Xenopus tropicalis: one gene and its partners. The protein of the gene in region 1 interacts with the protein of each later gene in a biochemical or structural test. Links are inferred from orthologs where the notes say so. Each region holds a gene or a part of one and is shown on either strand. Other genes may lie near its edges. The genes, in order: ldlr, mylip and pcsk9.

Region 1 (9,380 bases):
TGACAAGCCCTGCTCTCCCCTTGAGTTCCACTGTGGGAGTGGAGAATGCATACACATGTCCTGGAAATGCGATGGGGGATACGACTGCAAGGATAAATCCGATGAGAAGGACTGTGGTAGGTATCACCCTGTGAGGTTTGACATATTATCATATATTCATATACTCTGAGGCTTAGAATATTATACTCCATTTTAAAATGTATCTCCATTTTGTAACTGCAGACTGGAAGACTTGACATCCCATAATAAGTTGGTTTCTCTCAAATAGTGACTCTGCACGGCTTGCACATTATGAAATACATATTAATTATCTTATCGGTTATATTCCTGTTCGGCACAAGCAATCCTTGAAGGCCATTCTTGAAACTACAGTGGTCTTTCTATTTGTTATAATACACTCCTATGTATTTGCACTTACTCAGAAGGTTATAAAAGCTATGAGCGCGTAACAATAAATTGAACAAGTTTGAACTGCCTCTGTGGTTGCGTCCTTCTTGTTCCCGTATATACGTCTTTGTCCTGGCAGTAGAGCTGCCACAGGTCCCTACACTTTTAGTGAGCTGTCGGGAACCCTAAAACACCTCTACCCTCCTGCAAAGATACAGTGGCACGGTGCTGTGTGCATCTAGGGTAAGATAACCACTTTGTTATTCACTCCTATCTCTATCTCTCTTCAGTGAAACCCACTTGCCGCCCGGATGAGTTCCAGTGTAACGATGGGACGTGCATTCATGGCAGCCGCCAGTGTGACCGAGAATATGACTGCAAAGATCTTAGCGATGAGGAGGGTTGTGTTAATGGTGAGCATCTCATTTGCCCAGACTGAAAAAAATATAGCATGTGGCCCATTTTGTTTGTAAAACTGCTGTTCCTTTAATGGACATTGTTTAACAAACCAGTACTGTAGAAGTGTTCATGGTCATTACTGTATTTGCCATAAGGTTCATAGAGTTTATGTCCGAACTGCCAAGCTGAAAATGATTGATTCTTACCTACATATGGCATATATGTATGGTCACACGTGATCTTTAATAATAAGGTGTCTATTTTGTTTTTCTACAAACAGTGACAAAATGTGAAGGCCCTGATGTATTCAAATGCCGCTCTGGGGAGTGTATCACAATGGACAAAGTCTGCAACAAGAAAAGAGATTGCAGGGACTGGTCAGATGAACCCATCAAGGAGTGTGGTGAGTATCAACCTGTGTCACATAAGGACTAATCACGGCACTTGCCTCGTTCCTTAATCATGATATTTAACACCAACCCTTTCTCTTCAGGTGAAAACGAGTGCATGCGAAACAACGGCGGCTGCGCCCACATCTGCAATGATCTTAAAATAGGATATGAGTGTTTGTGCAACGAAGGGTACAGACTTGTGGACAAGAAACGCTGTGAAGGTAATTTTAGCTTTTTTTGGAACTTTTTAGCATCAGAGTTTTTTTTTTTTGGATCTTTGTAGCATCAAAGGTACTCAGAGTACTTCAAATCCAGTCTAATGTTTTCTTTCCCTTCTTTTCTTTTATCCAGATATTAATGAATGTGAGAACCCCAATACCTGCAGTCAGATTTGCATCAATCTTGATGGAGGCTACAAGTGTGAATGCAGAGAAGGTTATCAGATGGACCCAGTGACTGCATCCTGCAAATCCATCGGTAAGTACAATGCCAAGCCTGCCTGTGGGCTTTAGAGCTTCTTTGTGCTTGTCATCTGTCAAAATATCCCATGGTCTGATCTGTTGTTTCATTCCTGTGCACGTGTAGGAACTGTGGCTTACCTGTTCTTCACAAACCGGCACGAGGTGAGGAAGATGACGCTGGATCGGAGCGAATACACAAGCTTTATCCCTCGCCTTAAGAATGTGGTGGCTTTGGATATGGAGATTGCCAGCAACAAAATCTATTGGTCTGACCTGACTCAGAGGAAAATATACAGGTAATGGCGAGACTGGCGTTGCTGCTTTACACCCCAAACTAGTTCTCCTATATGAAGGGTGGATGCCCTCTCAGATCAACCTCTTGCATGGTAAAGAATGCCCAGTCATGTACCCTCTAAATACTGCATATGTTGTTCACCTTTTAAATTAACTTTTAGTATGATGCAGAGAGTGCTATACTGAGACAGTTTGCAGTTGGTCTTCATATTTGCGGTTTTGGAATTAATTAGGTTTTTATTTAGCAGCTCTCTAGTTTGGAATTTCAGCTGTAGCCTGGTTGCTAGGGTCCAGTTTAACCTAGCAACCAGGCAGTGGTTTGAAAGAGAGACAGGGCTATGAATAGTGGAGGGCCTGTATAGGAAGATTAGTAATAGAAAGTAACAAAAAGAAAGTGACCATTTGAAAGCTGGAAAGGTGAATAGGAAATCAAATAATTAAAAATGGAGACCAATTGAAAAGATTCTACAAATAGACTATAACATACTAAAAGCTAACCTGAAAGTGAGCCACCCCTTTAAGTGAGCTTATTACATTTACAAAGGTCTAATATGTCATTTCTTCCCAACCATAATTAGTGCATCGATGGATAAGGCAGACAACACGTCCCACCACGAAACTGTGATTAGCAGCCAAATCCAGGCTCCTGATGGCATTGCAGTGGACTGGATCCACGGGAACATCTATTGGACAGACTCTAAGTTCAGCACCATTTCTGTGGCCAACACAGAGGGATCAAAAAGGAAAACTCTTTTCAGTGACGATCTGGCAAAGCCAAGGGACATTGTGGTGGATCCTTCTCAAGGGTAAGTCAGGTGGAAATTACTTGTGTTATATTACACTGCAACAGAACTGGGAATTAGAAGGACGGCATGATGCTCATAGGGGCCAGTAATAGGGCTTAGTCTTGGTTGTATACAAAATAAAATGAAGGCTATGAATACAGTGTTAGTGAGAGAAGTGATCCCTTTTGGCGATGTTTATGATGCCGTGTAAGTGTGTCAGAGATCCCGTTAGCTCTGTGTTGTATATAAACCTATACATTGTTACCTGCTGCAGCCTTAAATGTTTTTTTTTTTTTTTTTTTAATTACAGGTTTATGTACTGGACTGACTGGGGCCTCCCAGCCAAGATTGAGAAAGGAGGCTTGAATGGAGTTGACAGATACCCCTTGGTTACAGAGAACATTGAATGGCCCAACGGCATCACATTAGGTGAGCAATCTTTTACCTGCGGATTACTCCGCATACTTACTGTTCCATAAGCTGGTCTTCCTATTGTAACAATTTCAATTTTCATGATGACATTCTCCCTTGTGTTGTATATTTAGACTTAACCAACCAACGGCTATACTGGGTGGACTCTAAGCTTCACTCTCTGTCCTGTATTGATGTCACTGGGCAGAACAGAATAACGGTCATATCAGACGAGACCCACCTGGCTCATCCTTTTGGGCTCACCGTCTTTGAGGTAAGCTGATAATGATACCCAGGCTTTGCCCAGCACACAAATAATAAAAAATAGTGTGGGGCAGCATAGGCTGTTATCTTATGAGCAGATTGGCATCAGATAATTATGGGATGGAGGTACCATGTGTAATCTCATGAAGTACATGTGCTGACGACGACCCCTCTTTCTTTTAGGATCTTGTATTCTGGACTGACATTGAAAATGAGGCCATCTTTAGCGCAAACAGACTGACTGGCAGCAATATCACGAAAGTAGCAGAAGATCTCTTGTCTCCAGAGGACATTGTCTTGTACCACAACCTGAGGCAACCGAAAGGTATGAGCCACCCTTACAGCTTTAATTGTCTGCAATTAGATGGTTTTATTGCTGAAATTCACCCATTAGGTTTTAGGGCCCAACAGATGTTCTTAAATAGGATGATTAGAGCTGCCTTCTGCCATGTTGCTCCTGTTTTTTCAGTCCAGGGGAATTGAGTGCACTCTGAATAGTGAGATGGTCTGTCAGTGCTTCCACATAAGAGGCGCACATAGTGGCGGGAGGGGCAGGGGGACCTGTTCTCCCAAGGGGCCTGCTGGGGCACATTAGCACCGTGTTTTATATAGGGGTATAAATGTATGGTAGAAAATGATTGCCCCACTATGTGGCTCCTTACTTACCTTTCTATAGTTATAAGTCCAGCAGTGTTACCTTGTACTCTCTCTTCTGTGTCCAATGAATTTAAACTCATCAATTTTTTTTCTGCCACAGCTGAAAATTGGTGTGAATCTCACCACCTTGGCAATGGCGGCTGCGAGTACCTGTGCCTTCCAGCACCGCTCATTACCTCACGTTCTCCCAAATTCACCTGTGCTTGTCCAGATGGGATGCACCTGGGGGCAGACATGAGGAGCTGCGTGAAAGGTAGGCCCCTTGCTTCAGATCTCTCGGAACGGTTCTCTGTGTTCCAGGTTGGCTAACTTTTTTGTGCTGGCTATTCAAAAGAAACCTATTCTGATTTATTGTGTCCTTACTTTCCAGAACCAGTGTTACCAGAGACCTCTACCACAACCACCACTTCAGCACCAGTCACAACCACTACAACAACACGTCCCACTACTAGGAGCACAACACTGGCTAAGATTACTTCAACTACCTCAACTGTTGCTCCACAGAGACCAAAAATGGCCAGCACCACTGTAGCACCACCAAGGCCTACCACAGAATCCCCTAAAACAACCCAGAGAATGGTTACAGAAAGAGTCCCTGATCGTACCACATGGGAGCCTGTGACTCATTCACAACTAGGTATGCACAGTCGGTGGGGACGGTGGGGGGTGCAGTTATGTATTCTCACCTGATATTGACTTATGTTTATGTAACATGTTTTGCTAACTGCATTTTTTCCCTTCCTGTAGCTGGAAATAAATTTGCTAATGAAGGAGTAGTTGAAAGTGCCCGATCCCATCCCACTGCTCTCTACATTGTGCTCCCTATTGGTGAGTTCCTCACTTAATCCATGAGCTTCTCTGCGATGAATGTACTTGGGTATAGATGACTTATTTGTACTGTGTAGTTTTGTCACGATGTCGGGTGGCAGTGAGGCTATTGAATGTCACCTGAAACCTTCGCTGCTAAACATACCTGCCATTTGGCCGGGACCATAATGTCGTCCCAACACATTTGTCTTGTGAGCGTTTGGCTACTAGTGGAGGTGTTGGCTGCCATGTCCAGAGCCTCCTTTTTCGGCCCACTTAAATCTATCCAGTTACAGTAACTCCTACTTTACACTGACTATGCTTGGCACCATGGCAGGTTCTAATAGAACCCAAAACTTGACTTCTGTAAGCCTTTATCATGTCAGCCTTTATACAGAACATTGAAACAAGGACAGGGTAGTGTTGTTTCTAAAGGCAAAATATTGCAATTGGTCTAACTTTTTAATGCTTTTCTCATTCTAGTGATACTTTGCCTTGTTGCCTTCGGGGGATTCCTCCTCTGGAAGAACTGGAGATTAAAAAATACAAACAGCATAAACTTTGATAATCCCGTGTACCAAAAAACAACCGAGGAAGACCAGATTCACATCGGCAGAAGTCAGGATGGATACACCTACCCTTCGGTGAGCATAATCCCACTTCTAATGTATCCATTCAATGAAGGCGCAAATTTGGTTTTGTTTGTTCCCTTGAACATTCAGCTAAGGCTCAATGGTCCTTTAATGCTCTTTAAGGGGAAATATATACCCACCCAAACAACGATGGGCTTTTTCTATTTTAGCTTTTGTGATATTAGCAGTTTAACACTGCCAATATCATGAATGTGTTACAGGAATGCTGTCTGCTGGGGGGGGGGGGGGCAGAAGCTTACATTACTGAAGCAGGAGGCGTCTCTTGATACTTTTATGCAAAATTCTGTTGATCAATAGGATAAGAGCAATGGCACTGAGTAGTAGGTTTTTTTTAATCAATGGAGAGCACACTGCTAGATGGAAAATGAAAACTAATAAGGTAGAATAAGGTGCAATAAAGCCCAAATATACTTCCCCCTCCCCACCCCCAGGTACATCAAACTAAATAGAGAAGTAGGGCTTGCACTCAAATAAAGCAATACACACCAGTGGTATTATCACAATAAAAATATCTTCATAAGGTGTTAAATGATAACAACACAGCACAATATTGCTCTTATGTTGAAAATACAACCACATATAATACATACCACCAGATAAGCAAGATAAGGTGGATACCCCCAGTAGCTTTTATTTGTTTAGCAGCTCTTCGGTTTGGAATTTCCACAGCTCTCTGGTTGCTATGGTTCAATTCAACCTAGGAACCAGGCAGTGGTTTAAAATAGAGACAGAGAAATCAGTAGAGGAGGGCCTAAATAAAAAGATAAGCAATGAAAAATAACAAAAACAATACAATTGTAGACTCACAGGGCAACAGTTTTTGGTCAGAAGAGGAGAACAATTCAAAAAGCATACAAAATAAAAAATGAAGACCAACTGAAAAAGTTGGTAATAACAGTCCATTCTATAACATAGTGAAAGTGAGCCACCCCTTTAATTATCTGACAGCTAGTCCATCAGACAGAACAGCAGGGGGTGCTCCAGTTGCAAAATCCATGATAGTAGTAGTGTAAAAATGGTAATATCATAACTAAAAGAATGTCAATTGCTCAGAAGAGCAGCTTTAAATGAAATTGTTCAATTTAACAGAGGGGGCCTATACCCATGTATACAAAGTGCTGTGTTTTTGGGACCAGCCCCCCTGTTGTGTGTTTTTCTCTATATAATTGAAATGAATGCTAATGCTAAGATCGGTCTGTACTGGTCACTAACGTGTTTCTGTGTTTCCCATTCACAGAGGCAGATGGTGAGCTTGGAAGATGACATTGCTTGAACAACTTGACCACTCGTGTGCCTGTCGCCAAATGTTGCTGCTTACTGTTTCAGGGACAATACAAATAACGACGAAACCAAAACACACTTTTTTTTTTTTGTACATTAGTTGTCACTAAGTCCAACCCACGCAGCCCAAACGTTGATTCGTCCTCGGCGATTCCTAAGACTCAACCTACAAATCGCCCGTGGACTTCACTTTTTTTTTGTGTCTGAGATAATTCTATTTAAGTTTAATTTTTTCTTTTTTTTTTACTGTGCCATGTTTTATGCTCTATTGCACACTAGTAATGTGACAATTCCCCTCGGAAACGAGAGATCTTACACGAAGGAATACGGAAACACAATGGCGAAACTGCACTAGGGGGGACTGTGAAGGACTTACCTACAATCCTGGCTGGGGTTATATCTGTCTTTTGTTTTGTTTTAAAAGCACAATATCTTGAAGAAAAAAAAAAAACACTAAAAAGAACCAAACTCTGAACGGGAGGGACCCGGTGGGGGAGCAGAACTTGCAGCTTTTTTTGTTTTCTATATAGACTTGTGGACGTCCCAATCTGCTCAGGTTGTCGGAGAATGTTTACTACCTTTTTTCGGGTAGCCATATTTGGCACTGCCTTCCTGATAGGATGTAGCAAAGTGACAAAGGCCACTAATTACCCACAAGTGCCTGGTTCTACCATCATTCTTTTGCAGCGGTTCCACTGTTGCCCCCGCCCTCCGCCTGCACTTTTTCCCCCCCCCTCTCTCCTGCGTTTGTATGTTTGTTGCACAGAGTTGTCAATTCTTCAGCTTCCTTCTATTCACCGTACTCATGGAACAGGGTATGACGGCAGAAGCGACTTTTTTTGTTTTTGTTTGGGATTTGGATAGACTGAATGGTTCTAGGGCTTCGAGTCTGAACGTTTGTGATGTCATCGGAACGCTGTCCCGCGGATCAGCACCTAACGAGGTTAAACCGTGCCTGTTACTACTGCTGCCTTAATTGCTTCCCGGTGCAGAACTGAGCTATCGTCGCGTATATTTTTTTTTTCCTCGAAAAATCTCAGGTTTTACAATCGTTGGTTCTGAATGGATGATTTGGGACACGCCTTCTCCGAAATCCCGCCTCTGCTCTTTGTATGCAAGTATCCCTTTTTCTGCAGTATTGAAACGAATCCGTCCTGCCCGAGCCTTGGAAAGAGAGTGCTTTCTTATATATTTTTTTTTTTTGTTCTGAAGGGTGTAAATATTTGTTTCTGTACAGTGTATTGCACAATGTATTTCCTGTATGTATATTTTTTGTCATTCCTGGGAAAGAAAAGATTAATATATAATTTATTTATTTCCTAAGCTTCCACGAGTCTCATGGTTTTTATTTTGGGCTTTAATCTAAAATGGAACTTCTTTCTTTGAACTATGATCCGGCCTGAGCCCTTCCTGCCATAACTGGGTTCTGGACATTTATCTCAGAGAACATTAATGCTCACTTAAAGGAACAGTAACACCAAAAAAATGTATAAAAGTAATTTAATATATTAATGCTGTATTGCCCTGCACTGGTAAACGTTGTCTGTTTGCTTCAAATCCTTACTATAGTTTATATAAACAAAGCTGCTGTGTAGCCCTGGGGGACAGCCATTCTAAGGAGAAAATTCACAGGTTACTTAGCAGATAACCGATAAATAGAGCTTATCTGTTATCTGCTATATAACCTGTGCCTTGTTCCAGCTTAAAATGGCTGCCTCCAGGGCTAAACAGCAGGGTATTTATATAAACTATAGTAAGGTTTCTGTAGCAAACACCCCAGCTGTACCAGTGCAGGAATGGCTGCCCCCGGGGCTACACAGCGGGGTATTTATATAAACTATAGTAGGGTTTCTGTAGCAAACACCCCAGCTGTACCAGTGCAGGAATGGCTGCCCCCGGGGCTACACAGCGGGGTATTTATATAAACTATAGTAGGGTTTCTGTAGCAAACACCCCAGCTGTACCAGTGCAGGAATGGCTGCCCCCAGGGCTACACAGTGTGTTATTTATATAAACTATAGTAGGGTTTCTGTAGCAAACACCCCAGCTGTACCAGTGCAGGAATGGCTGCCCCCGGGGCTACACAGCGGGGTATTTATATGAACTATAGTAGGGTTTCTGTAGCAAACACCCCAGCTGTACCAGTGCAGGAATGGCTGCCCCCGGGGCTACACAGCGGGGTATTTATATAAACTATAGTAGGGTTTCTGTAGCAAACACCCCAGCTGTACCAGTGCAGGAACGGCTGCCCCCGGGGCTACACAGCGGGGTATTTATATAAACTATAGTAGGGTTTCTGTAGCAAACACCCCAGCTGTACCAGTGCAGGAACGGCTGCCCCCGGGGCTACACAGCGGGGTATTTATATAAACTATAGTAGGGTTTCTGTAGCAAACACCCCAGCTGTACCAGTGCAGGAATGGCTGCCCCCGGGGCTACACAGCGGGGTATTTATATAAACTATAGTAGGGTTTCTGTAGCAAACACCCCAGCTGTACCAGTGCAGGAATGGCTGCCCCCGGGGCTACACAGCAGGGTATTTATATAAACTATAGTAGGGTTTCTGTAGCAAACACCCCAGCTGTACCA
Region 2 (11,158 bases), on another chromosome or scaffold:
GAGGCAGCCGTGAGCTCATCTGAAACAGTCTACACCACTGATCCTACCCCAGAAAACCACGCTAACTTTGCAGACGCCCTTAGACAGCTCAATCTCCACAGAATAAACTTAACCAAAAAACAACTCCTCTATACGGCTAGCACTATGTTCGCCTACGGTGATAAAAATGGCAAACCATTGGCTTTCTTGGCCAAGCCACTCGAGAGCACCACGGCTGTTCCCAAAATACTATCCTCCAATGGAGAGCCACTACTTGCCCCCGTAGACATAGCAGCAGAATTTAACAAATTCTATACCTCACTCTACACTTCCACTGCCCGCTACTCCAATACGGAGTTACATAACTACCTTAACAAAATTTCTTTACCCAAGCTATCACGCATGCAATCAAGATATATGGACTCTCCTATTACCCAATTTGACATAGCAGAAGCTATCATGTCCTTCCCCGCAAATAAATCCCCAGGCCCAGACGGCTTTACTGTAGAATGGTACCGGACCCATATTCGAGAAATAGTCCCAAAATTACACGAAACACTTCTCCATGCCTTTGAGGAATTCTCACTCCCCAAGTCATTCTCAGAAGCAACCATTGTAGTCATTCCCAAACCTGGGAAAGATCCAACTCTATGCTCCTCATACAGGCCAATCTCGTTACTAAATATAGAGATCAAAATCCTCGCCAAAATCCTAGCAAAACGATTAGCAAAAGTCATATCCACACTAGTAGAACCGGACCAAACTGGATTCATGCCAGCAAAATCCACAAGCTTTAACCTTTGGAGATTATTCCTCAATCTGCAACTACCTCATGATAACAAGGGCTCCAGACTGATAGTATCCTTAGACACGGCCAAAGCCTTTGACTCGATTGAATGGCCCTATCTTTGGAAGGTAGTTGTCAGAATGGGGTTTGGCCCTTCTTTTGCTAAGTGGCTTAAACTGATGTACAGTGAACCCAAAGCGGCCGTCAAAGTAAATGGAATTCTATCCACCTCATTCCAACTCACTAGAGGTACCCGTCAAGGATGCCCCCTCTCCCCACTACTCTTCGCCCTAGCGATTGAACCCATGGCAATCCTGATTAGACACTCCCAGCAAGTCAAAGGACTCATATATAAAACTGTTGAAGAGAAAATTTCTTTATACGCAGATGACACGCTGCTATATCTTGCAGACCCCAATGGCTCATTTCAAACAGTACTACACATAATCAAGTCCTTTGGTATATACTCAGGCTTACAGATCAATTGGGAAAAATCCATAATCTTCCCCCTAGATGGCCAAACCCCCACAATGACAGACCCAGATTGCACCCTCAAAGTTGCTGACAGCTTCAAATACTTGGGAATAACGGTTCATAAAGAACCAGCCCAATTCCTTGAACATAACCTACGCCCACTATATAACAAATTTTCAGAGTCTCTCAAACACTGGACAAAACTACCACTCACACTAATAGGAAGAATCAATATATGCAAAATGATCTTCCTGCCGAAATTTCTATATCAATTCAGTAATACCCCATGTCACATACCTAAAAGCTTTCTACTAGTAATAAACCGAGCCCAATCTGCTTTTATCTGGGGTAACAAATCCCCAACGCTCTCAAGGTACACTCTGAATGCCCCGCAAGACCAACTAGGTCTAGCATCCCCTAACTACGAGCTCTACTATTTAGCTTCCCAGTGTGCCCATGTCGCAAATTGGAAAGTGTTTGACCCCGAGAACCCAGCTTCAATTTTAGAAGGCCTCTACTTCTCCTCAATAGAAAGCATGCACAATGCCCTGTATAGAACAAGAAGGGATATTAGCCCACTACTCCCAGTTTCAGATGCCACCAAAAAAGCATGGGATTCCATGACCCTATTAACCAATAAAACAGGAATAATATCACCTGACGCCCCACTATGGGGAAATAGCAACCTACAGAAATTCGCTTCCTTCCCAGAAGCAGGATCCTGGGCTAAACTTGGGGTAAAACGTATAGATCATTTATACACAAATGGAGAACTACATACCCTACCTTCTTTGCAGCAAATTATCCCCCGACCCGGCTTGTCTAACCTTAGATATGCACAGATTACACATTTATGTAGCGCACAGTTTCAACAACCTCCGAATATCCAGCACTTAGACCTAGAACGGCTGGCAGCACAAGAAAACAAAGCCAAACTGCTCTCAAACTCTTACAAAATCCTGATCGCTAAAAGATATCAAGCTTAAATGGGAAACTTCTGGGGTACATCTAGACCCCGAGGACTGGGACGAGGTCATTAGCAACCTCTATCAACCCTTAATAAGCACAAGGGATAAGCTTATACACTTTAAAATTGTACACCAGACCTATCTCACCCCGCAAAAGCTACACATCATGGGGAAAACCGAATCAGCGAACTGCCCAAGATGCAAAGCGCCTATGGCTAACTTTATGCACCTGATATGGGACTGCCCCGTACTTCAACAGTTTTGGCATAAAATTACAGAATTCATGGGTACGGAACTGAATCTCCCCCAAATATTCAATCCAACCACCTGCATACTGGGCCTCCTAGACTCTCTGGTACACAGCAGAAATTCTAAATTACTAATGAGACTGTTACTATTTTACGCAAAAAAAACCATTGCCCTACATTGGATGAGCCCCTCACCTCCAACACTCCGAAGATGGATTGCCCTGGTCAACTCTCAACTAGACCTATACAAACTTACATATCTTGCCAGAGGATGCCCGGCGAAGTTTGAAAATATTTGGTCTCCTTGGACTGACTCACCAGCTACTCTATTGTAACAACCGTTACTCTCTTAACCCCCTTTCTTTCCCCCCCCTCCTTTTCTCCCCTTCCCCATTCCCACTGTTGTTGTAAAACTCAATAAAAATCAACCTTAAAAAAAAAAAAAAAAGCACGATACAAAAAAACCGTATAAAATACATTTGAAAATACGGAAAAATTGTATATGATTGTATAATGGCCAAAAAGTTAAATTTTTTCGTATCTGAATGATCGTAAAATGCAGGAAAACCTTTCTGACTTTGAACCTTCAGTGCATGATTTTCGAAGCCTCCCATAGGACTCAATGGCACTCTGCAGCTCCAACTTCGCCCAAGGAAAATCACAATACTGTAGCTTGAATAAATCCAAAACTTTCGTACTCGGCCCGACAATGCGATTTTGTACGAAAAAGTCACAGAAAATATGCAAAAGTTGAAGCACCAGCCCGGGGTATCTGCAGCGCTTCCTCCATCCTGTATCGCTCGCACGCGCATGCGCAGTAGAGTGAATAGTGGAACTTTAACAGAGAAGTCGGCTTTTCACTCTACTGCGCATGCGCCTATTGTGTTAGTTGCAGCAAAACGAAGAAGGAAGGAGGAAGCGCATCGCTCCAGGTACCCCGGGCTGGTGCTGTTTTCTCCTAACAGGGGCACCAGCCCGGGGTACAACGTAAGCAATTAAAGTCACTTGGGGGTGCTTAACATTTTGGCACCCCCAAGTGACTTAGCCTTTCCTTCTCCTTTAACTTTTAGTATGTTATAAAATGGCCTATTCTAAGCAATTTTTTAGTTGGCGTTCATTATGCTCCTCTTCTGCTAGTGATGCCCAGGTTCAAGTCTCTGATAGGGTTTGCTTGCTCTGGTTCAGGTGGGTGGCAGGTCAGATGCCTCAAGAAACCCCTCCACTTTTAGTGATGTCAGTGCTGTTGCCCCTCCCTCTCAGGATGTCACTGACAAGTACCATTGGGATGTTATACAGTACAGTAGAACATAAGGATCTGGGCTCTGACTGGCATTTAAAAACAGGTTATGTATCTGCGTCAATCTTCTGCCTCTTTTAACCTGTGGCTTGCAATATAAAATGCTATCTGGTTAAATTGTTACTTGATATTACTTCTCTTTATTTTCCCCTCTAAAAAGTACTAAATTGTTGTGAATGTCAGACCTAGTTAGTGAAACTCCCAGCAGTCCCAGTACATATAAACAAAAGGTAAATATCGGCAGGGTTCCACACAATGGGTCTCTATGCTGTGTGATTTTTAAGTTATTTTTAATCTTTGCGATGTCAGACCATTTTCAAACATGGGATCAAAAACAAGGACCATCGATCGTGGTATCAGACTGATAACAACCATATTTTAGATTATGATGATAATTTATTACTTTTCGAAAATGAAGAACAAATTAAGAAGAAGAATAACAAGAAACGGAAAAGCTGGCAAGCTGCACATGTAAAGAGCACTCAGTAGCCAGCAGACTGTCTGTGCTTGTACAGAAGCGAGACAGTACATGCTGTAACCCCATGCCAGCCCCTCACCGCCGAAGGTCCTTTCTAAACGCAAGCTCCAGGCTCCGGTTACAGTATTCCAGCGGCCAGAGAGCCAATAAGCGTGCGGGGGCGGGCCTTGGTGAGGAGGAGGGCATAAGTAAGTTACAGGCAGTGGGAGGGTTATTATCAGACTAGTGATATCCTTGTGCTGATGGTGCTGGAAGCAAGCGCCCTCCTACGCGCTTTTTATACATGCACATACAGTTGGGTGCATACAGGAGACAGGGTCGTCGGTAATTTAGGAGCGGGAGAGACAGCACGGGAGGCTGTCTGTTAGGCTTCAGTGAAGCAGAAGGATCCTGGCATCCCCCCCGTACTGCCATGCTGTGCTATGTGACGAGGCCGGATGCGGTGGTTATGGAGGTAGAAGTGGATGCGAAGGCGAATGGAGAAGACTGTCTCAATCAGGTAATTGGGTTCGAGACGTGACCCTTGTGGGAGCCATGGGTGCTTGTATGTAGGATCATCCACAGTGAGGCAAGTTTCCCATTCGTCAGTGCTCTGAGGCTGCCTCTCATTCCACTTCTAATACTTGTTTGTCCTATGGAGCTTTGCGCCCCAGCACTTACCTCTGTGCAGAATAACAGCACCCTGGTGCTCCTAGTTAGCAGGCCTACGCTTCTCTAGCCTTGGGCTATCAGCCCTGTGCCAAACGTCTGGGCTAGCTTGTCTCATTTGTATTCACCCAAACACACCAGCTAAGTAGGAGAGAAGAGTACGCATACCACCTGGCTACTTACATACATTCACCTGGCCCTGTGTCCTGTGCCAAATGGGACTCCCAATGTATAGCAGTAACTTTCAGTCTGATGCTGTTGGGCTCCAGCTTTCTATTCTGTTTATTATAAAAGACTGGCCAGCAATATAAAGTATCTAAATGGTTTTTTATGTATTCACAGCTGAACCTGGTGGGGTTTGCATGCTTGGTTTGTGAAGCTCTGTAGAAAGGTAAATGTGGTGCTGACAGCTGACTGCAATGGCTCATTAACTTTGTTAGCAGTTACCTGTTAGGAAACATTTGCGATTATTGTTATAAGTGACACCGAGATGTGTTGATTTATTGTGGTATAAATCTATGAGGAAGAGGTGAGCTTTGTGCATATGTGGGTAACGGAAGAAATAAGGAAACAAGATGTGGTGTAGTGCAAGGTCTGCGCCATTACTGATGCAAGAATGTCCCTCTACTTGTAAATACCACCCTGCACCTCAGTGTGCAGCATGTTGCTTAGGTGTGTGTATTGTGTTGTTGGGCTTATGTAGAAAATGTACATAACATTTCCTGAAGTTTCACAAATAAATATAAATGTATATTTTTTTTACAGAGATTTAACTGATTCCAAAGGAAAACATGATTGCCTATCCTGGTTCCCAGAAATGAGTTCCCCATTCCTCTAAAAAGCTTGAAGACTCTCTGCTTTCCAGAGATTCTGTGCAGCACCCACTGTGGAAAGCAGAGGGACTTCCAAGTCCCAGAATCCATACCTTTACAGTGAAACAAGATGAAGTGGGGGTTGCATTACATTGCAAAGATTTGCTGGGAAATGTTTAGTCCAAGTATCATAGTCCGTAATCAGTTATGTGTATTAAACAAAAAAAAAAAAGTATATTTATTTGTGTAAGTTCAGATAGTGTTTATGCACATTGAATGAGCTTATATAAAAAAAAGGCGGTGTATTTTCTCTTTAAATGTATTCCTGGCTCTTGTCACTGAATGAATCTAAATGAGCTTTCTCGGATAAGGTTACTTAAGATCATTTTTTTTTTTTTTTTAACACATTTATATTCACAACATCAGGTGTAGTTCATAAAATTGCCTTTAGAAAAGAGAAAACCATTCCTCATTTTTGTATATGGGTGTCCGTGCAAATACATATATACATTTGGCTTCAAAACCCTCTACTATGTAAATATAAACTATTTTGCAATTCTTGGTAAACAATTTTAAACCTCTTTTCAACATGCAGCCCTGTAACTATTCCCAAGGATCTTTTGTTTTAGGTAAATATCAACCTTTGCAGACTGTAGTATATCATCTAGGTACAAAGCTTTTATTCTAGGATGGTTTGTGCAGAATCGTGACCCATGTTTTAGCACAACAAGGAGAATTTAGGTTGTGATAGAAAGAACTTTCTATTCAGTAAGGGAATACAACATTAAACTAAAAATAATTTGTGCTGTACATATAAGGGCCGTGACAGATGGGGAGATTAGTTGCTGCGCCTTTTGAGGATACTTCAGCGATTTTGGCGCCGCATATGCCATCCCACCGGCGATTTACATTCTAGCCGGTGGGATGGCATTTTCGGGGAGATTTGACGCGCGGCGACTTATCTCCACGTCTGTCATGGCCCTAAGGGTGAAGACACACAGAACTACTTAGTAGCAGCTACTAAATGCCCTAAATCCCCTGCCATAGACAGTACTAAAAATTGCCTCTGCTAAAACACACACAGAGACAATTATCAGTAAATGATCAGCATTGTCTATTTTTGTAGCTGTGACAAGTAGCTGCTACTGTAGCTCCATGTGTCTTCACTCTTAGGGCAGTGGCACACGGGGAGATTAGTTGACCGCAATAAATCTTTGTTACCATGAGCGACTAATCTCCCTGTAATGCCATCCCACCGTCAAGAATGTAAATCGCCATTGGGATGAAAATATGCTTCGCTTCTGTTTCCCGAAGTTGCCTCCCAAGGAAACTTCAGATGACTTTGGGGAACCAAAGCGATGCATATGTCATCCCACTGGCGATTTACATTCTTGCCGGTGGGATGGCATTTTAAAGGAGATTAGTTGCCCGCAATAGCAAAGATTTATCCTGGACGACTAATCTCCACATGTGCAACTGCCTTTGGGGTAAGAACCCACGGTGCAAGTTACTTGCTTTTCACTGGCAACAATAGAAGTCGCGGAAAGCCCTTCACATCACTTCGGTAATCTGAAGTGGCGTGAAGTTTCCTCCTGCAGGCAACTTTGCGTGACTTAGGAAAATGAAGCAATGTGACAGGCTTTCCACTGGCGACTTCCTTTGTTGCCAGTGGGTGAATAACTCGCTCTGTGGGTTCTTACCCGTATAGTTTAGGGCTCTGGCACACGGGGAGATTAGTTGCCCGCGACAAATCTCCCTTGTCACGGGTGACTAATCTCCCCAAACTACCATCCCACCGGCGAACATGTAAGTCGCCGGTGGGATGGTACACGCTGCGAAGGCGATTTCGGCAAATCGATAAAGTTGTCTCGCGAGGCATTTTCGGTGATTTGCCGAAATCACGCCACCGCGTGTGCCATCCCACTGGCGACTTACATTTTCGCCGGTGGGATGGCAACTCTGGGAGATTAGTCGCCCGCGAACAGGGAGATTTGTCGCGGGCGACTAATCTCCCCGTGTGCCAGAGCCCTTAGGATGTTTTCCCCTTCTGTTACTGTTTTCCACTTACTGTATTGCACAAACCCACCATTACTGCTTTATCTAGTATTTGTTCCAAAGTAAAGAAGGCTGGCCAGCTTCATATCTTTTATCAGCTGCTTCATCGTTAAATTGTCTGATAAAGTAAATATTGCAAGTAATGTATCTGTTACTACTGTATTTTATAAGTTTCTTTGCCTTAAAAAAGCTTTATTAGTACATTGTCTTTTGGTTTGCAAGCAAGTGCACCTGTACTTTAAAATCTACTTTATGTTAAGGAAGTGATAGTCTCATCAACTTTATATTTATCAAGGCTAGCTACCTGAGAGTACTGGAATATGTTATTTTGCTATATATTGGTATACTAGACCATATCTTATTATGATTACTGAATGAAGTATTTTCTTTCTCTGTACCAGGTTTGCAAAAGGTTAGGGATTATTGAAGGAGATTACTTTGGGCTGCAATTTAGTGGTAACAAAGGAGAAAATCTATGGCTGAATCTCCGAAATCGAATATCGCAACAGATGGATGGTCTGGCGCCTTTCAGGTTAAAGCTGAAAGTGAAGTTCTTTGTGGAGCCACATCTAATCTTGCAGGAACAGACAAGGTAAGAGCCGGTGAAGGCTCCCATTTCTGGGTAAAATTGCTGGGACTTGGAATATGGCCAAAACAGCTGCAGGAAAGACAGAGTAGGACATTGCAAACGCAGATCAACAGATGTCATTTATACAGTTATTTTAATGTTGTTTGTACATTTAATAGCCATTTTTAACTACACAAATTCATGCTTTAAATAGCAACCAGGTGATTATGAATTTGTTGTTTAATGAATTCCAAACTCCAAACTTGTCTTAATGCCAGGTTTGTGAATACAAAAGAAACTGGAAAGTGTCTTAGAACTACATTTTTTTTCATTATGCAAATATTTTTTTGTGTGGACCAGAATTTTGCTAGTGTCTATGAATTTAAACTGAGGAGTTTAGAACAGTGCATTTTTATTTTTAGCATGTACATATAAAGTAAAACATTGACAATGACCGATCTAAAGTGTATCCACTTGATGATCTGGGCTCTTCTAATGAAATTATTTATTTTTAAATATTTTGTTGCAGTGACACATGCAGTTTGCCCTATAGTAACCTTAAATACCAGACTCTGTTATTGCCGGTCATTCAGAACCACAAGTACAGTAGAGGAGGAAACTCCTCCCTCTTAAACAGGCTCAAGTTTTTTCAGCATTAGGTGCCAGATTACATTCTGTTTCTGTTACATATGTATAGCTTTCCAGAGGCCTTATTAGCTTTTTATTCCTACTGGCAATCTGTTTCTTAACTATTTCATTCACAAGCACCATCATTCCTTATTTCTTAATAAACATGAATATGTTATGTTTTCTTAACAGCAATTATCTATTTGATAATGGAGGTAAATGTAAAATGGTTTACATAAACTCCACGTTCTTCAAGGAAAATGTAAATTAATTTTAAATACTGTAATTGTAAAAGCAAATTATACCTACATCCCAGAGCCAACGATTGCTGTTGGCAGAAACTTTTTATTCAAATGAATGGGAAGTGGCTGCAGGTGGAGAAGGGCAATTTTGCACACTGTAGTCCTGAGAACACGGTGGTAACAAAACTTTGTATGCCAGTCATTTAAGCATGACATTTTTAGATGGAGAAAATATCTTCGCTGTAACTGTAAGATCCGCTCTTTTGGCGAGGTTACCAAATGAGTGGATCTTCTCCCGATATGCCCACCTAAGGTGGGCGATATTGGGCTAATTGGATCGTTTGGCCCTAGGCGCCGTTGGACTGAGGACCACATCAACAAGCTGATGCGGCCCCTGATCTGACAGAATACCAAGCCTGGCCGTTCAAGGTCTGGCCAATTTTTGGTCGGTTAGGCCTGTTGGGGACCGATAAAGCTGCCTTAAGGACCTGAATTGGCCGCTGAAATCTGCCCGCGTATGGTCACCTTTAGGCTTTAAAGCACTAGTGAATCTTCAAAGCAATAAACATATTTAAGATTGTATTAAAATTAAGCAGTTTGTGGTCCCACGGAGTCTGGTGGGACAAAAATTCCTTTTAGGGCTGCAACAGACATTTTGAATGTTATCATCATCATCATCATCATCATCATTTATTTATATAGTGCCAGCAAATTACGAAGTTAAGCAGGGATGTTTTGTTGATCAAGTTCAACAAACAAGGGTATACAGAGTAACAAAGGGCCCTGCTTGCAAGAGCTTACAATGTACAACAACGGTCCTCAACCTGTGGGTTGGGACCCCTTTGGGGGTCGAACGACCCTTTCACAGGGGTCACCTAAGACACATATTTCTGATGGTCTTAGGAATAATTTTATGGTTGGGGGTCACCACAATATGAGGAACTGTATTAAGGGTTGCGGCATTAGGAAGCTGGGAACCACTCATCTACAGTGATGTGTGTTATGTTTTCCTAGTGCCAGAAGAAAAATATATAGCTTAATGTCTGGCACAAGAGATATTAGTGTTTTGAGGGAAGGATAGTGGAAGGGGAATTTACCCATGTGTACACACATGTATGTATGTTTTTTTTTTTAAATCTTATTTTTAATGTATATGAATACTCATGCAACTCATTTTTATTGAGTAACTTCAGAGTAGACTCGTCTTGTTATTCCTGTTGAGCCTCCCACAGATGTTTGCTTCAGCCTGATGTAGTGTCATTGGGCTGGAATCGCTCTAGCTGCTTCTCATAATCTGAAATTGAGCCAGTGGCCTCTAGTAAATCTTGTACTTATCTCAACTTAAGGTGATAGTGCAGAATTTTTTTTTTTCTTAATCAAAAATTTAGTTTTTACCCTCTTTGCTGCACTGTGTTTTATACGATCACTCAGAGCAGCTACCAGTAAGAAGGGGGATACAGAAAAGGTTAATGCAACTCGGCAGGAGAGAACTTTGGAATTCTTTTGTGGTGACATGCCTGTGCCAACTTTTGGTATCCATGCCCCCTTTACCATCACTTGCCTAATATAAAATAACAAAGCTATTGGGGAATTTCATTCCTTGAGGCACATTATGTTTTGTTTACTGCAGACTGTATAGGTAAGGTAATTGTGGTTAATGCCAAAAAGCCTATCATAAAACCAAAATACAGATACATTAGAATGCGCAACCCCTGGCAGTAGCATATGTAATAGTATAATTGTTGTAGGAAAGTATAATCAAGCAACGAGCCAGTCTGTTAATTTGTGTAATGGCTATACAAGTTATGCTGGAAACAACACTGGAGATTGGCTTTACGTTCTAAGTGTGGTAGTGAAACAATCTTCTACTACAATATGTTTTCTCTTTTAAGAGTCCCCCATCAGCTACTGGCAGGGAGTTGTAGTTTAAGGCATATGTTTACATGCCCTGCTATAGGCTTTTCACAAGGATAAA
Region 3 (10,389 bases), on another chromosome or scaffold:
TTATGCGTTTGTACCAGAATATCTGGGCCCCTTGGCAGCCTTTCATTTCCTTATAGTATTCTCTAGCAGGCATATGGCATCTTAGATATCCCTGCTGTTTAGTGACTGCCACTTATATCTGCTTACTTCTTCTCCCTCTATATCATTTTAACATTTCTTTACCCAAGATGATGTATTCTGCCCCCCTTTTCCTTCTATTCTGTCTTCTTCCTCTAAGGCCCAACTGGGTTATGGCAGATGAAGATGATTATGGAGAAGAAATTGTTCTGTCCTTTGCCATGCAAGAAGAAGCCCAAGTAGATATGGAGAAGGAGACATCTATTGGGGCTTTCTACTGGAGTAATAAGGTAATTTAAGTCTTTGTTTTAATATTATTATGATGCTAAGATTCAGAATGTTATACTCCATTTTATTTTCTTTCTCTACTTTCTTAATGAAATCAGTTGTAATGAGTGTATGTACTTGCCCTACATCTAATGTGACCAACAATAGGCCCTTTAGTTCTCCACTCAAAGAAACTATTATATGTAATTCAGAAGACAATAAACCTTAGATACAAAGCACCATGGAGTTAAGCACCATGTCATGCAAAGGAAAGACGCTTACATAGTGTCTTTGGTTATAAATGTTTTACTGTTACTGCTTCATGTTATGTTCTGTCTGACTGTGCTGTTGATGAATCTGCTCCCTATACACATGGCCTCACTTTATGTTTTCATGTAAAAATGTTGATTATGTTCTTAAGTAATACGCCCACATCCACTCCCCTTTAGCTGTATGGTGCACATGGTGCTAGGGCAATATACAGGTATGGGATCTATTATGCAGGATGCCCTAGGGCAGGGGTCCCCAACCTTTGTTCCTTGTGAGCCACAATCAAAGACAAGACAACACAAGAACCATAAAAGTTAATGGAGGTGCCAAATAAGGGCTAAGATTGGCTATTAGGGAACCTCTATGCACACTGTAATCTTAAAGGGGGTTTTATTTGGTAGCAAATCTTGTTTGAGAGCAACATCCAAGGGGTTGGGGAGCAACATGTTGCCCCGAGCTACTGATTGGGGATCACTGCCCTAGGGTTTTCCAGAAAAGGGATCTGTTGTAATTTGGTTTAGAGAAACATTTAAACATAAATAAATGTAGACTTTGCCACCAATATTGACTCAAGCAGCTTAGTTATGATCAAGTACGAAGTACTTGTTTATTATTAAAGGGAAAGAGGAAATTATTTTTAAAAATTAGAATTCTTTGCTTAAAATGGGCTTCATGGCCTTTCTATGATTCCCATTTACGGATAAGAGATTGCATACCTGTACAAAAGAAGTCAATTCTCTTAAATCTCCAGCATTTCAATTTCTCAAAGAAATGTACAAAAACAAGATTTAATTCCGTAAGATTATAAAATATTTAACCCCAGCAAAAACTGTGATGTTCTTTTGTAGGAGGCCTGGAGAACTGCAGGCCAGTATGTGGTGGTGTTGAAAGAAAATATTCACAGGTCCCAGACAGAGAGAGTCATCCGCCGGCTGCAGGCAAGAGCAGCAAAGCATGGCTACCTGACCAAAATTGTTAACGTCTTCCATGAACTTTTCCGAGGGTTTGTTGTGAAAATGAGTAGTGACTTATTAGAGATGGTAAGTTTTGCAGGCATGAAAAGTACTGTACTCATTCTGCATTCCTCTAGTCTATATGTTTTTTAAAAAAACTCATACAGTTCAAACATACTATACTAGGTATATCCAAGCTGGTAGGGCCACAGTGTACATGGAATGCCAGGGCCAAAAATGTACTAACAAGATGAATACTTTGCCATGGTTCTGTCTGTAAATAGTCAATTCCAATTACTCTGCTCCTCATTAAGTCATGCACAAATCACTTATTGCTTTAGGGTGTGTACTGACTGCCAGACAGATCTTGCACATGCCTCCCTTATTGTAACATTGATGCTGCAATGCTCAGCCCTTGTTACTAACAAAGCCAATATTATATTCCAAAGTAAAACTCACTCATTTCACACAATGTTTTCCTGATCCCCTGAAAAACTCAAAATTGTGGTTCTACTATAATAGTTAAAAGTACAAGTTAATAATGAAAGTTTGTATTAAGGTGAATTACCCGTTTCAATAACATCAAAGATTATTATATAAACATGTTAGTTGGAAAATACTGTGGGTGTGAGACCTTATCTTCATGTGATGTTGATTGTTGCATCAGGTCTGTAAAGTCCAAGGTACCAGCCTGGAAATACCCTTATATTTACACTTTTTTTTAGTTTGTAAATGATTTGCACTACTGGACACAATGGGCCCTCACATTCCTTGTTGACTGTATATGCTATAATTGCCTTTCAGGAAAAGCAAATGTTCTGTGTCTCTTTCTTTTCAGGCTCTGAAATTGCCACATGTGGATTATATAGAGGAAGATTCATTTGTATTTGCACAGAGTGTTCCATGGAACCTTGACAGGATTGTCCCTGCCCAGCAAATGGCCAACCAATTCAGCCCACCTAGTAAGAACTATTTATGTATCCTTGGGTTCTTCCCAGTGGCATTTTTCACAGTAGCAGAAAGGAAAATGTCATTATCAGAAAGTAACACTTAAATAAATACAGCTCACAAAAGGAATTGCTTATGAAATGTACATAGCTCAGGCCAGGACAGCAGGTGTCAAGCAGTATATGTATTCATTGGCATCTTGTTTATAGAGACAACCCTGAAACTTACAAAAATGATCTTATATAAAAAAAAATGTTATGAGGAGCCCTGCCAGCAGAGCTGCCTTCAAGTACTTGCACATGTGGCACAATGGGTATAAGAGACACCATACACAATACAGTAGCATGATCCCAACATAACAACTGTTTATGCCCAATGTATCTTTTTGAAAAAATATCCAATTACCTCCTTATATAAAGTTATGTTCTTTATATGAGTACAAGTCCTCCTTTTTCATTGCTGTGCAATGTCATTATTAATACAGTTCTAGCTGCTGGTTCTACCCCATTTTCTCAATATGTTGGCTTGTTGTTTATCTCATAGATACGGGAGATTCTGTTGAGGTTTATCTCTTAGACACCAGTATTCAGAGTAACCACAGAGAAATAGAAGGAAAAGTGTTTGTGACAGATTTCCAGAATGTCCCAGAGGAAGATGGAACCCGCTTCCACCGACAGGTGACTTATGTAATATTTGTGCCACACTCCCTTGCGCGCTGCGTATGTTTCTTCTGTGCATTCTGCACATAAATAGTTAGGGATGCAGTAAATCCACTATTTTAGGATCCAGCCAAACTTTTTGTTAAAGATTTGTCTGAATACTGAACCTAATCTGAATCCTAATTTGCAAATGCAAACTAGGATAAGGAAGGGTTAAAGAGAACCATTGTGTGAAGCATGTAGTGAAAAATGTTCAACTTCCGTGTTTATGGAACAAAATGTCATGTGATTTTAAGGATTCAGATTTGGTTTGGCCAGAAGCATGGATTAAGCCAAATCCTGAACTGAATCCTGGATGCAGTGCATCCCTAGTTAAAATATAATGTATTCGGATTCTGGCTAGTGCAGAAGATACCAGCTTGACTCTGTAGTGCATCATTTCTTAATGCCCAGCAGAGGCCCAGCCAGCAGAAAAAACTCAGCAATCTGCAATGAATAGGTCTTATCAGTTATCAACTATGCACATCAGCAAGGGTTCTGAAATGAGATCAGATTTAAAACTGAACTTTTCCAATTTTGCCTATAATCAGGGTTGGTTTCAGGGCAGGGCATTTGCTCTGGGCCACAAACTCAAGGTACTAAAATACTCTGTGTGCCTTTGGGTTAAGTTAAATTGCCTCCATAACACTAATTATAGCTTTGGGTTTTAGCTTGATTCTCTGGTCACTGTTGTTTGAGCAGTATCTACAGAGCACATTTGTGTGTCTTCTAATGATCTCATCATTTTCTGGTAGGCTAGTAAATGTGAAAGTCATGGAACCCATATGGCTGGAGTGGTAAATGGAAGAGATGCCGGTGTAGCTAAAGGCGTAAATGTCCGCAGCCTTAGAGTACTAAATTGTCAAGGCAAAGGCACAGTAAGTGGAAGTCTAACAGGTAAGTGTATGTGGGTTTGCTATATCTGATACAGATTCACATTTTTGTGTTGCTTTAAACTCTAGGTAATGAGTAGGAATTTGGTAAATAGGGTGCAGAAGTGCAGTGGTTCTGGCACATCTTCATAAGAAGCAGAGCTTGTATTCAAGGATCAGTTCAGTGCTTTGCTATATTTTCTGTAAATACAATTACAGTTTTAGTGTAATTCCCCATTCCCAAAAAGTGACTGTTTGTTAAAGTATAGTCTTGTTTTATATAATGATGCCATATACCATGTCTGTGAGAGCTAGCCACATGAAACATTTACAATTCAGCAACATAAAGGAGAGGTTTCCCAATCAATTTCCAGCTTTTAGGACTTTGGAGTGAATCACAGGCCTGAAATGTAATTACTCCATCCATACTTTGTTTCTTCCATTGCCCAGCTTTGTCTATAATCCCATTATATTTTGCCCGTCCCTTCCTTGGGCCAGACTTGTCTTTTACTCAAACTAATTTACACACTCATTTGCTCATATACTTTTAGCATCTTTACAGGTGGTAATGTACTCAAAAGTGGTAATTACTTTATATTTCAGTTAAAATAACTAGTGTTTTGCATGCTTTTTGAATAACAGATTTTTCATAATAAAAACTTGTTCTTGCACTCTGTGAGTGCAATGTAATGGTTCCTGTATGTAATGTATGTGCCTCTGTAATGTGCCTTTTGCTTACCAGTGATTTTTAAGCTAAGGTTTAGGCCACAGGCCCTCCCCACCCCTATCAGTTATTGGCTGTTTTTGTATGTAAATCTGTATGTTTAATGTATACACCTATAACTGTACAGTTATACAAGTTAATAATAATAATGTTAATAAAAAAGGCCAATCTTAAAACCAAACCAAGGCAAGGCAGGTCTGGCCCTGAATGTGATAAGAAATATGATAGTTCACTATGTATTAAAATTGTCCTTGGATATTCACAATGTTTGCTAGAGGTCTAGTAACCCTTAGCAATAAATAATATGTTTGCATTTAAACAACAGACCAGTAAATGCAATAATCATGAAGAGAATTAAACACCATTGCTCAATATACAACTACTGTTTGTCTATTATGGCTTGGCGTCATAATAAATTTTGCCTTCTTCCAGGTCTGGAGTTTATCAGAAAAACATTGATTGAACAGCCTTATAACCCGCTGATTGTCCTCATCCCCTTTGTTGGAGGGTACAGCCGGATACTGAATGCTGCCAGTCGTGCCCTGGTCAATACAGGAGTTATCATAATTTCTGCAGCTGGAAACTATAAGGATGATGCCTGTTTGTACTCCCCAGCATCAGAACCTGAGGTAATGTCTCTCTCATGTTGCTAGTCACTTTCATGTTTCTCCTGCTTTGACCCAAGTCAGCAATTTATTGTGATTTATATCACTGTTTGGTGTGTCTAAATGTATATTAATGACCACCCCTAAAACAAAACAGTAGAAACATGAGAACCTAAATGAATTTGACTGTTTGCAGCTCACAGAGACCAAGTTTGTACTATGAATTTTTTTTTTTTTGTGATTAAATATGGCTGATGTGTGAGTATTCTAATAAACAGGTTATTACAGTTGGAGCCACTAACTACCAGGACCAACCTGCAACAATGGGTGTACTTGGCACAAATTATGGAAACTGTGTTGACTTATTTGCCCCTGGAGATGATATCATAGGTGCCTCCAGTGACTGCAGCACCTGCTTTACTTCAAAAAGTGGAACATCCCAAGCAGCCGCACATGTGGCAGGTACAAACAGAGCTTTTCTAAGCTGTTTATGTCACACACTACAACAATGTTTAATCCAAGTCACATTCTTTCTGGATTTCAGCCTTGTAGTGCCTCACTGTAGCTTGCAATAAGGCTTGGCCTCCATATGCACTATCCCAGACTCCCCTGGGGTGGCATTGCCTAAAGTTTATCTCACAACACATCAAAGAAAGTCTAATCAGATTCTTTTTGTTTTGTATTCAAACTGATTGTGATAAAATGTGTATCTTCCAGGCATTGCAGCAATGATATTAAATGACAAACCAGACCTATCAGTGTCAGAATTAAGGCAGAGACTCATACATTTCTCTACCAAAAAAGCCATAAATGAAGTCTCGTTCCCAGAGGATCAGAGGCTGATCACTCCTAATCGAGTTGCAGGGCTCCCTGTGAAGCTTCTCACAGGTAGGTTGCTAAAAGCTCTTATTATTATTGTCATTATATTATTAAATATTGTCTCAGTAATGTTGTCCCTTTTATAACTTAGTGGCTTAAAATTCAAATTTGTGAATTTTAGATTATTTTTGAATTCAAATAAACATTTTATAAAAACCAAATGTTTGCTTTTTTTTTTTTTATTAAAAAAAAAGTAATCTAAAAAACACAACTGAATAAAACCATGAAAAAAAAACTGATTGCATCAAATTCATAGTCTATGCCTCATTTTCAATGGGTCTACAAACTCTCAAAAAAGAAAATTTGAAGAATTCTAATGGCCTACATTTGGCCTAAGACCACTACCATCATCTTTTACATGAATTCTAAAGCTTTTAGATGCTAAATTTAAAATTATTTGAGAGTAATTTGGAAGCCCAAATTCGTATTCATGAGTTTTTAGCGCAAAGAATTAAGTATCATGGCAAATTTGAACGATGATAAATCAGCCCTTTTATATTTTGCTAAATGGATAGTTATTTCTATAGACTAAAAACCTTAACTGTGTCTCTGTTCTGGGCAACCTTAAAACAGTGTCTAATTGAGACTACTCAAATTCAAAATTTTGCATCACATCATCATTCATACCTCTTTTCAGATGAGGAGCTTTTTTGTCGTACAGTTTGGTCAAAACCATCTGGCTTTGCTCGTAAAGCAACAACCTCAGTTCAGTGCAGTGGGAATGAAGAGATGTTCAGCTGTTCCAGTTTCTCCAGGAATGGGAAAAGAAAAGGAGAACACATAGAGGTGGGTAGATATGGAACACGATGAGCACTTGAATGAGCAGCCTGTGGGCCTAGCTACGTTGTTTAATTGCCAACTGAACGTGCTGCACCAAAGCACTTCCACTGCTCAATAGAATTCTATGATACCTGGGTATTTAGTAGTAAATGCATTGGATTTCTTACAGTGTGTATTTGTGACACAACTCTGTTGGCAAGACTATACACATTAAAAAGCTATTTTGTATGGAAGGCACCAATTATTTCTAATAAGAGGAGTGTCAACCTGAAATACTACATTTGAAAAGTCATTCCCATACCTATTAAATTCTGCTATCCAGAAAGTTAATAAATTAAATATATGAATGTAGCATGCAATAAACTAAGTAGCAAAACCAATACCATTTATTACATCCACTAAAAAAATACCTTAAAAACAAGTTGACAAAATCTGAGAGGAACCCTTCATCATATAGTCAGAATATTATAAACACAACTGTCTGAGATACAGCACAATGTTAGTCAATGAAAAAATACAAATTGGTACACACTGCTGCAACTGCTATAAAATTGACGGCCCTCGGTTCCACAGAAGTTGGAAAACACTGCTATAATATATAAAGAGTTCCATTAATCAATACACTAATTAGCGGTCAGTTCATTGGGGGTCAAAGCTCTAAATTTATACCCAATACTCCTTCCTGCCCCTGCTCTGCATTGTCATTGCTTGATATGAAAGTTACAAACGTCTTTAAATAAGTTATATAAACTGCATGTTTAGGGGCCCAATGCTGTGGGGCCTAATAACTAGTAGTAGTAGTTAATAAATATAGTAAAAATAATTAATGTGCTAATAAATCAGTATTTTAATTTGGGGCCAGTGGAATTTACAAGTTCTTTGAAAGTAATGTAACTTATGTAAATTGTAAAGTTATGTATGTTTTTAAGCAGTTTTTGTTTACGTAAATTTTGCATTGCTGTAACTTTATACGTAACTTTGCAGCCGGGCCCTAATTTCAAAGATTTCACCAGGCCTAGTACAGTAGTACCCTCTCCCCACCCCCCACCTCCTCGATGGCGGCGCTGGTTACGCATCCATATCATACAGCACTGATGTAATAAATGATATTGGTTTATTGTGTGCTACACACATATTTTGACTTAGAACTGCAGAATAAAATAATATCCGCATAGACTCAGCCCCTTCGTGGCATCTTCCTTAAACAGGGAAAATCAGAAGAGGTGGGTGCTCACCAATCCAGCGCAGTGCTCCAATGCTGTGTAAATGGCAGCAGCAAAAAGGGAGGAAAAAAGCCTGCATCCTACTCTGATAAAAAAAACTGTCCTTTGTTAGTTACTTAAAACCATGGGTAGCTACTGCGATACAGAAAAGCCTGCTGTGTTTCAGGTTTGACCCCTTTATCATAGGCTAATGCAGCGTTTTTCAACCACTGTTCCGCGGCACACTAGTGTGCCGCGAGATGTTGCCTGGTGTGCCGTAGGCAGGGCACCAATGTACTAGGGGGGCACTGCTCTTGGCACCAATGTACTAGGGGGGCACTGCTGCTGGGCACAGAGTTACATTTTTTAACATTTTCTAATGGTGGTGTGCCTCGTGATTTTTTTCATGAAACAAGTGTGCCTTTGCCCAAAAAAGGTTGAAAAACACTGGGCTAATGAATACATTTCCTTTTAAACATTTGCAAACAGCGCCATCTACAGATCAACAAAACTACATAATACAAAATAGCTTAAAACAGAATAAGACAATCAATCAGTGGGACCAAAATAATATTGAAACCAAAAAAAAAAAAAAACCCAAAAACTCCACAGACAATACTTTTCAATAAGAAAGCTAATATATCCATATATTAAATTCCAAATGCTAAATATTAACCCACTAATACATTAGATGAATACATATTTTAATATGATTTAACATAACATTTATATAATGCATGCTTGTTTTTCAATCACCATTATATTACTATAACCAATCTCAAACAAAGTGGGAAATACCCCATTTGGATTTCAGACCTAGAGGAGTACAGGTAGATAGCTCAAAAATCCCAAAGATTTCAAGTGTGTAATAAAATCTCCCCCCCTTAAAGACAAAACTTTTAATATATATTTTAAGCTGCTATGTGCTTATACAATTTGTTAATTTAGGACTTGTGTATTTCACATTTTGGCTAAATAAACAGGAAGGAGGTGGAAGGAAGACGTGTATTGCGCACAATGCATTTGGGGGAGATGGAGTTTATGCAATTGCTAGATGTTGCATTTGGCCAAAAGCTGTCTGTCACATTAATTCTACCACACCTGAAGATGGAGAAGAGCCATCCACTGTAAGCTGCTCAAATGAGGACCACATTTTAACTGGTATGTTATGCATTTAAAGGGGAAGATTTGCAACTCCTGATCATTTCTATCTTAAGGAATAGTAAATATATGACCCTACTGTCCCTGTTGTATCTCAGTCTCATCACCTCTACCCTTTGAGATCTTCCGGTGGCCATACACTGTAATCCATTAAAAAAAGCGTATAGGATTTAATTAGCCTGTTATCCCCAAATGACCTTGCCAAACGAGCAGACCTTCTACCGATTTCCCCACCTACGTGTGGGCAATATTAGGTTAATTTGATGGTTTGGCTTTAGGGCCAAACAAAGAATTAGAATGGCAGGCGTAGACTCAGTCAAATTGGGGACTGCATCAACATACAACAATCAAACCTGCTGATCAAGATCTGCCCGATTTCACACCAGATGTCGGTCAGGGAGGCCCATTGGAGCAGGGCATAATGAGGAAAATTTGGTTTAAATTAAAAAGTATATTTACAAATGCCTGATGAACACCACTCCTCGTGATCACAAAAATAATCCATGAGAAAAAGCTTATAGGTATATTCATAATATATTTATTTAATGCCAATGTAAATACCGGTGACCCCTGCAAACAGGAATTGTACAATTGTCTATACTTGTGCATACAACTTTATAAGCATGTTTGACTTTACATTGTTACAGTGCTGATTTTAGGCATTTATCAACTTTTTTTTTTTATCATTTTTAATTTTTCCTATAACTAGGTGCAGGCAGTAAAGGCGGGGTACAACTATTCTGTAATAGGAAGGGGCATAATATATGTTTACTGCAGTATGTGCAGCACAACATTCTTTAAGAGACTAATCGTAAAACTGACTCCTAGTCCCCTCGCCTTGTTAGCCAGTCTGCGCAACCCCCTAACCTGACAGGGTGGAATGTTTTGCTGTAGTGGGGAGGGTAGCAGATTGTCAGATTAGCCTTGGGTGCAAAAGCCCATTCACCCAGCTTTGTCTCTAAGGGAAGGGGCA

The links.
Region 2: of the proteins of ldlr (region 1) and mylip, one has a biochemical effect on the other in vitro, tested with the Homo sapiens proteins (4 studies listed by BioGRID, with this or other methods). The link is inferred for Xenopus tropicalis from reciprocal best matches to the Homo sapiens genes LDLR and MYLIP.
Region 3: the proteins of ldlr (region 1) and pcsk9 form a complex in vitro, tested with the Homo sapiens proteins (3 studies listed by IntAct, with this or other methods). The link is inferred for Xenopus tropicalis from reciprocal best matches to the Homo sapiens genes LDLR and PCSK9.

What each region holds. Positions count from the first base shown.
Region 1 is NC_030679.2:138,978,830-138,988,209, forward strand, and holds the end of ldlr (low-density lipoprotein receptor), read left to right. Parts: coding exon 1-116; intron 117-677; coding exon 678-800; intron 801-1,066; coding exon 1,067-1,189; intron 1,190-1,279; coding exon 1,280-1,399; intron 1,400-1,529; coding exon 1,530-1,655; intron 1,656-1,763; coding exon 1,764-1,935; intron 1,936-2,511; coding exon 2,512-2,739; intron 2,740-3,028; coding exon 3,029-3,147; intron 3,148-3,263; coding exon 3,264-3,403; intron 3,404-3,576; coding exon 3,577-3,718; intron 3,719-4,150; coding exon 4,151-4,303; intron 4,304-4,420; coding exon 4,421-4,687; intron 4,688-4,797; coding exon 4,798-4,878; intron 4,879-5,340; coding exon 5,341-5,501; intron 5,502-6,747; coding exon 6,748-6,783; 3' UTR 6,784-8,115; downstream 8,116-9,380.
Region 2 is NC_030682.2:92,599,642-92,610,799, reverse strand, and holds the start of mylip (E3 ubiquitin-protein ligase MYLIP), read left to right. Parts: upstream 1-4,490; 5' UTR 4,491-4,643; coding exon 4,644-4,730; intron 4,731-8,147; coding exon 8,148-8,338; intron 8,339-11,158. UniProt on the Homo sapiens protein: E3 ubiquitin-protein ligase that mediates ubiquitination and subsequent proteasomal degradation of myosin regulatory light chain (MRLC), LDLR, VLDLR and LRP8. Activity depends on E2 enzymes of the UBE2D family.
Region 3 is NC_030680.2:97,736,417-97,746,805, forward strand, and holds part of pcsk9 (proprotein convertase subtilisin/kexin type 9), read left to right. Parts: 5' UTR 1-167; coding exon 168-347; intron 348-1,442; coding exon 1,443-1,634; intron 1,635-2,385; coding exon 2,386-2,509; intron 2,510-3,038; coding exon 3,039-3,172; intron 3,173-3,948; coding exon 3,949-4,090; intron 4,091-5,221; coding exon 5,222-5,418; intron 5,419-5,672; coding exon 5,673-5,856; intron 5,857-6,111; coding exon 6,112-6,282; intron 6,283-6,910; coding exon 6,911-7,059; intron 7,060-9,238; coding exon 9,239-9,416; intron 9,417-10,389.